2 linked regions of the Drosophila melanogaster genome follow. The protein of the gene in region 2 interacts with the protein of the main gene of each other region in a pairwise test. Each region holds a gene or a part of one and is shown on either strand. Other genes may lie near its edges.

Region 1 (3,756 bases), on a different chromosome or scaffold from region 2:
GAGTGCTTTATTAGAATACCGAGTAACTATCCACTGGAAATGCCTCTATGGATTCTGAATGTGCACTGGAACGGATGCCTTACCGCGCAAAACAATTCGGCGATCAAGGTTTGAACTTATTCAGGTATTATCCTCCAATTAGCTTTTAAACTTGTATTCCTCAGATGATGGAGTTCTGGACCAACTCCCTGCAGCCCAAACATTTGGAGCCCAACGACTGCATCCTGTACGCGCAGCTCTTCCGCACCATCTACAGCTTCGATATATTCCTCGAAACCGAGGGATCCATGCAAAACACCATTGAGTACAACAAGGAGAAGCCTTACATAAGCGCCTTCGCCAAGCGGAGCCGCTCACGCCCCTACAAATACATCAAGAAGGGATCGGTCTACGCGTTCAAGCAGTGACAGTTGAATAACGAATGTTGTACAACACAATGCGCCAATGCGGTTACTAAACGTTCTCACAGTTGCGTTTATTACGATTAGTAATACAATAAATAAGTAACATTTAAAGCTAGCTAGCTACGACTTCATTGGCAGTTGATCTTCTGGGAAGAGGTCGCTGCCAAGGATCCGGGAGGTAGTGCCGTCGCAGAAGGGTTCTCAACCGCCTCCCGACTCTCGTCCGGCATCACTTTGTCCACGACGTGCTTGACGATCAGCCCATCGTCGCCCAGATAGCAGACAGAGTAGCCGTCGTACCAGGCCTCCTGATCCTTCAGCACCTCCTTCAGTTGCCAGAGCTTGTACTTCCAGAACTGGAACATGACCTTCAGGCCGGAAATGCCGCGCACTCGCCACCTTATCCGCACTGTGTAGTCGTCCTGGTGCTTCGTGATCTTGAGCACCTCGAATTTCACGTAGGCGTACTTCAGGTGGCCAACCGTTCGCAGGATGGCGATCTGTTTGACGTAGTGGTACAGGCCCACCGTGTGCTTGCCCGTTATGTTGTTGTGGAAGATTAGGCCCGGGCTGTAAATGGAGTAGTCTAGGGGCTCCACGAACAGCTTTGGTAGCGTGGTCCTCAGAACCTCGTAGGCTCTATCCAGGTCCTCGGGCTTACGCTCGTTCTCCTTAGGGTTCCCGGGCAGCCTCTCCGCTTTGGTGCTCTCGTAGGCCCTTCGACTTTGCTGGAGGTTATTGGCGGCATGGCTGTTTAACAACTTTTGTGGACACTTCGCCGGCGCAGACGCACTTAGCCGCATGGCGGACGCCCACGCCCGCTCCTTGGAGCACCAGTTGGCCATCCAGCTGCTCCTTCTTATTGATGAAATCCCGAAATTTCGCAACATCTTGCAAGGACTTTGTGTGCTACTTCCTTCACCGGAACTGGGTTTCCTCGATTCAGATCTGCCTCGTCTGCAGATCACACCATTCAAATTGAACTTAGATCCTGGCTATTTTTCGTTTGCGGCCCTCAGGAATTTGACGTGCTCGTGTTTAGGTAACAACATTTGGAAATAAAATACTCGGCAAAAATCATATGGTCGTTGGGCTGCAGTGTGGCCAGACTGTGTGTAATGTCCCAATAGCTGCGAGTGCCAGTGTGGATGTTAGGGGAACTCCCGTTGTCCAGGGTTGTCATGCCGGATTAGTTTCACAAATTAACTTCCGCAACCGGAAGTCATGAAAATGGAAAATATAACTTATTTGGTTTGAATTTAGTGTTTCAAGCTTATTACATGAAATATGTTGTCTCTTTTTTGAAGTGCAATAATCTCAAACACTTTTCATTTATGTAAGTACATGGTTTTGGAGTTGCCTTATGCGGTTTTCTTGGTTGTTCTTCTGATAAATGTTTGGTACCTCAACAAGCATCGAATCCAGGCACTCGCATCCGCATCGAATCCCACAGGAGGCGTTTGACGAGAAACTGTTGCACTTTACAGTACTAAATGGTTTTGTGCGCAGACTTGCTGCGCAGACCAATTTGTTACAAGCTCGAATCACACACAAATCTGGGGGCATACACATATATCTGTCTGCAGGTAAACACGTTGTTTACAGCCACCCAGCTATATAACACTAATTTGAGCTGAGGAGCTTTCGCTGGCTGAAAAATCGACTTTTATTTGAGCTTAAACCCATAGAGCCTCGTACTATGACGCGCTAATCGGTGACCGTATTATTGAGTGCCAAATTCTCGACTTAGTTGCAATGTCTACTCGACTCTGCTAGCCCTAGTATTGAGAAAAATCAATAGGAAGTAAATAAAAATGCTGCATGCCTGAAACTCGCTTTGCGGATACTCTTAAACTACGTATAATCAATTTTTCTATCGGTAACCGAGCTATCCAAAATGTACGGAATCACTCAATCAACTGTTAACGTAAGTACCCAACCGGCTGTCCGGGATAACTTTCCGTTCTAGTCCTCAGCGATTATTGATTGGCCTTGAAACCCAACCAACTGCCAATGTGGGCTCTCCTTCCCCTCTCCAGAATCAACGCTTTCGAGTTCGTGATATGGATAACGAGCAGATCATGTCCACTTTTGGGAACATAGGTCACCTGCTGAACATTGCCGTGGAGCGATTTATAACCATTGGCGAGATCATCGCCGAGGAGAATATTGACATCAAGGGAGACATGTACGAGGCGGCGAAGGAGGCCAGAGATGCGGGTAAGAAGACATCCTTTCCAGCCTGGTACATCCTTTTCATTGTATTTTGTTGTACGATAGGAAAATCGATTGAACGACTTTGTGATATTTCACCTCTAAGCGGCATGGAGCTGCGCCACCACATCGAGCCCCTTAAGGACTATGGAGCCATCATTTTGGCGGCCCGCTCCCTGCTGTCGTCCGTCACGCGCATCCTACTGCTGGTCGACATCATAGTTGTGAAGAAGCTGCTGACCGCCAAGAAGCGGGCCTCCGAGAGCCTGGAGAAGCTGGAGTCGGTCATGAACTTCACGGAATTCGTGCGCGCCTTCTCCGTGTTCGGAACCGAGATGATTGAGCTGGCCTACCTCACGGGCCACCACCGCAACTCCTTCAAGGAGGAGCGACGGCGGGCGCAGATGTTCTCGGCCCGCCAGATACTGGAGAAGTCCATCGCCATCCTGTTGACGTCCTCGAAGAACAGCCTGATCCACAGCGACTGCGTGATCGTGAAGGAGAACCGGGACACTGTGTTCTGCCAGATCCGCAGGGCCATGGACCTCATCCATTTCGTGGTGAAGGACAGCATCTTCGACACGGCCAAGCACATGCCGTTCGAGAAGCAGGCGAGCAACCCGAACTACGAGAACGAGAGCATCTACACGACAATAAAGCGCATTGTGAACCTCATCAAGCGGTACAAGTACCAGATGAGCTACTACGAGGGCTCTGGCGAGGGCAACAACAACTCCGACGCCTACTTCAGTTTCCTGGACGATGACCTGTGGAAGTCGGAGAAGAACCTGCCCTCCGCGGCGGGCGGCGGCCGCATGGTGAACAACACGAACTTCAGGAAGCACCTCAGCTCCGAGAGCCTGGACCTGCGCGAGGAGCTCTCGCTCGCCTTCGAGAAGCTGTTCGAGAAGGCACACGACTTCACCGACTCCCCCTACATCAGCCACAACCATCGGAAGAACATCCTCTCCTACTGCGACAACTGCAAGCTGGAGTTCGACCTCTACCTGAACACCATCATGAAGGATCAGCACGAGGGTGGCGGTGGAGCCGGTGGAGTTGGAGGAGTGGGCGGAGGCCAGGTGAAGGGTCGGTCAGATCCCGAACTGGGTATGCTGAGCAGCCTGGAGGAGCTGTG
Region 2 (3,756 bases):
CCGCCCTAAATCCCCGCACACGCCCACCGCCATTAAAAAGGGCGAGAAGGAGGACAGCTTCTGGGACAAGTTCAGCACTTTGGGCCGCAAACGCGGCACCCGCGAAGGTAAGTCCACTTGATGATTGGAGCTCTCCAGATGGCTATTGTCGGCCAGGAATTGATGGGTATCCCAGAGTATTCCATTCTTGGACCCCTGAACCTCCGAAAAGTGGCCCAAAATGACCCAATGGATCCTCCCCCTGCGCACTGGAAGCTCTTCTGGGAACAGATGTGCGGATGCGCTGATTAATCAGAACATTGCGTCACTGTTGACCCACACAAGCAAACGGCGCTGATAATCGAGAGTGTGTGCGTTTGTGTGAGATGGCCTTGTGTCGTCACCGTTTTTGTTTACCTTGTTGATACCCTAAATACGCATCCGCTTGCTCCATTTGCAGTGAAGAAGGTCCAAGAGGAGGGCAAGTACGCCATCGACTCGCCTGGATCGCCCAGCCAGTATGACATCCCGCCGGAGGACTATGCCCTGCGTAAGTGCATTCGTTTTGAAGGGGCATCTCCTCGTATACCCATCGCATTTCCCACAACTCATCACATTTGATCCTACAGGCGAGCACGAACAGCGCGCCGTCATCGATCCACAGTCCATCAGTGATCCCCAGGTGATAAAGCTGCAGCGCATCCTCGTCGACTGGATCAACGACGAGCTGGCCGAGCAGCGCATAATTGTTCAGCACCTGGAAGAGGACATGTATGACGGCCAGGTGCTGCACAAGCTGTGGGAGAAGCTCACCGGCAAGAAGCTGGACGTTCCTGAGGTCACCCAGTCAGAGCAGGGCCAGCACGAGAAGCTCAACATCGTCCTGAAGGCCGTCAACCATGTAAGTAGTAGTAGTTTATGTTTTGCAGGATTTAAAAATCGGAGTTACCAACATTTAATTATTTATCCATTCTTAAAGTCGAATAGAATAATTTTTATTCGATTTACAATTAACATTCCCTTTTCTCGCGATATAAGAATAAATTTTATCCTTGCCCACACCCACAGACACTCGGCTTTCACCAAAAGATTCCCAAGTGGTCGGTGGCCAGCGTGCACTCGAAGAACATTGTGGCCATATTACATCTGCTGGTGGCACTGGTGCGTCACTTCCGGGCGCCCGTTCGCCTGCCAGAGAACGTGTTCGTGACCGTCGTGATTGCGGAGAAGAATGCGGGCGTGCTGAACGCGCAGAAGTTCCAGGAGCAGATAACGTCCGAGTACGACGACCTGGGCATGCGCTGCGAAAAGGACGCCTTCGACACGCTGATCGACTGTGCGCCGGACAAGCTGGCCGTGGTGAAGAAGTCCTTGATCACGTTCGTGAACAAGCACCTGGCCAAGCTGAACTTTGAGATCAGCGATCTGAACACGGACTTTCGCGACGGCGTATACCTGTGCCTGCTGATGGGCCTGCTCGGTGGATTCTTTGTGCCGCTGCACGAGTTCCATTTGACGCCGCAGGACGTGGATCAGATGGTCAGCAACGTGGCCTTCGCCTTCGACCTGATGCAGGACGTGGGCCTGCCCAAACCAAAGGCGCGGCCGGAGGACATCGTGAACATGGACCTCAAGTCCACCCTGCGCGTCCTATACAGCCTGTTCACCATGTTCAGGGACTTCGCCTGAGTGAAACCCGGATGGAACGAGCCAGCGGGTTGCAGGAGCAACAAGCGGCGCCAATTTTACATTTTATATTAACTTTTTGATAGTGTTTACACGCCTAATTTATGTGCGTTCTCGAAACTGATTGTAGGCGATGCAGCGGTTAAAGCTTACTGATCCTAACTCTCAAAACCACAACTAAATGCTGCGTCGCGTATAATCAGCCCAAGGAATGTTTATATATATATATATATATTTATGTGTCGTACGTCTAACCACTGCGATCTGCTCCAGATTCAGATTGCTCGGAACAGGAAGGAGCAGAGCAGAGCAGAGCTAACCCAAACCCAAAATCCGGCGGCCAGTTGTTAACTTGTCTTACTCACGTGCCAGACGTTGTAGTTGTTACTAAGTGAATTTATTGTATTAATACATTATTTGAACACAATAACCGAGATTGTGCCTTTAGATCACACAGAGCTTTTGCAAATTATGTCACAGATCAGATTTTAACGCTGTAAATGTAGAAGTTTACGGAAAAGTCTTAAAAAAAAATTTTATTGTGTACGTTAAAAATTTGGATCAGAAAAATCAATAAATATTGCCAATAGCATATGTGTTATTCTATTTTAAACAGTTCCAAGGCGCAAAATTTATCTGGGGCTGCAGCACTCACAAACGCCAGCTTCCATCCTATTCACATGTAAGTTCTTTCGAGCGTCTCGAATTGATTGAGAAACAAACCTTAGTAATTTTCTGAACGCTGTGCTATTTGAATTGTCGCGGTTGCGCGCGCAACTCGCAACGGTCTGGTATCGATCACAGCTGCGAGCAGGCTGCCAGATCGCTTCCCGTTCGGGAACGATTTCGCATCGATTTTCGATTGCTGGCCGGTATAATTTGAAAATGTTACTTTGCTGACCGGATTTTGGTCCTTGGCCAGATGTTGGCCATGAATCTAAAAGCCAGTATTTAGTAACTTGCGTTGATTGCAGCCGCTTAACTAAGCCGCTTAGCCAGATATGTCCTAATGTTATGTGTTTCGTTTCGAAACAAGGTGGCAACCATGCGCATGCTTTTTATGATTTTCACAATAGCCGAGCGAAGTTTCAAGATTCTAGAACTACCCACCACACCAACGCTTCTGCTGCGCCGCCAGTCCCACAACTACGGCTACGACTACATCAGCCCCACGCACATCGAACTCAGCCGGGAAGCAACTCGCCTGGTAATTCGCCGTCTGCAGCGCACCGTTCTCCGCCTGATCCGTGACCCGGACTTCATCATGTCTGCCGAGGCGAATCCCGAGATGGATAAGGAGCACCACGAGTCCCCATTCGCAGCGAACCGCAAGGCCGGTGCCAGCGGCGCCGGCAAACAGGACTCGAACTGCCGCACCTGCAACGATTTCAAGTCGTGGTCCAAGCAGCAACGCCTCATCTCCAACGTGCAGAGCGCCAAGGTGACGTGATCGCGTTGGCCACTTCGCCTTCGCAAGCAGGACGATAACACAAGAATCTCCCACTTTCATACTCCTCCAGGTGAAGCACATGGCCGCCGCCGAAAAGCTGACCGTCAACGCCGCCGAAGATCCGCTGCCCCGCGACGACTGCCCGCTGGACAAGGTGAGGCTGGGAATTTCCACCTGGGGACTGCTCCACACCATGGCCGCCTTTTACTCGGACAACCCCACGGACACCGAGAAGCGCGACATGAAGACCTTTTTTGAGGTTCTGTCGCGCCTTTACCCCTGCGAGTTTTGCGCCAAGGACTTTCGCACCGAGTAAGTGCATCTTCAATCCATTTGAAAACGCTGACACTTTAGCTGGACCTCTGTTGCAGCCTGGACGTCAACCCCATCAATGTGAACTCCCAAAAGGAGCTAGCACTGTGGCTGTGCAAGTTCCACAACCGAGTGAACGACAAACTGGGCAAACCGCTCTTCGATTGCACCAAGGTGAACGAGAGGTGGCGCGACGGCTGGCTAGACGGCTCCTGCGACTAGGCGCCGCAGCTAACCAGCGCCGAGAAGCCCCGTCTCCCGCCCGTTGCAGGTTGCCATGTTGACCAGACTTTGTCCCACATTTTGCTCGGCTGGCCCACAACTACAAC

Evidence for each region.
Region 1: the proteins of Alr (region 2) and alpha-Catr interact in a two-hybrid assay, tested with the Drosophila melanogaster proteins (one large-scale study listed by BioGRID).

Annotation. Positions count from the first base shown.
Region 1 is NT_033778.4:23,955,889-23,959,644, forward strand, and holds the start of alpha-Catr (alpha-catenin related), read left to right. Parts: upstream 1-1,953; 5' UTR 1,954-2,301; coding exon 2,302-2,331; intron 2,332-2,443; coding exon 2,444-2,624; intron 2,625-2,684; coding exon 2,685-3,756. Other genes in the region: thoc5, read left to right, coding at 1-108, 165-407; CG16787 (uncharacterized protein), read right to left, coding at 533-1,294.
Region 2 is NC_004354.4:19,746,203-19,749,958, forward strand, and holds the start of Alr (augmenter of liver regeneration), read left to right. Parts: upstream 1-2,111; 5' UTR 2,112-2,347; intron 2,348-2,701; 5' UTR 2,702-2,710; coding exon 2,711-3,106; intron 3,107-3,185; coding exon 3,186-3,427; intron 3,428-3,486; coding exon 3,487-3,649; 3' UTR 3,650-3,756. Other genes in the region: parvin, read left to right, coding at 1-107, 440-529, 609-880, 1,048-1,668.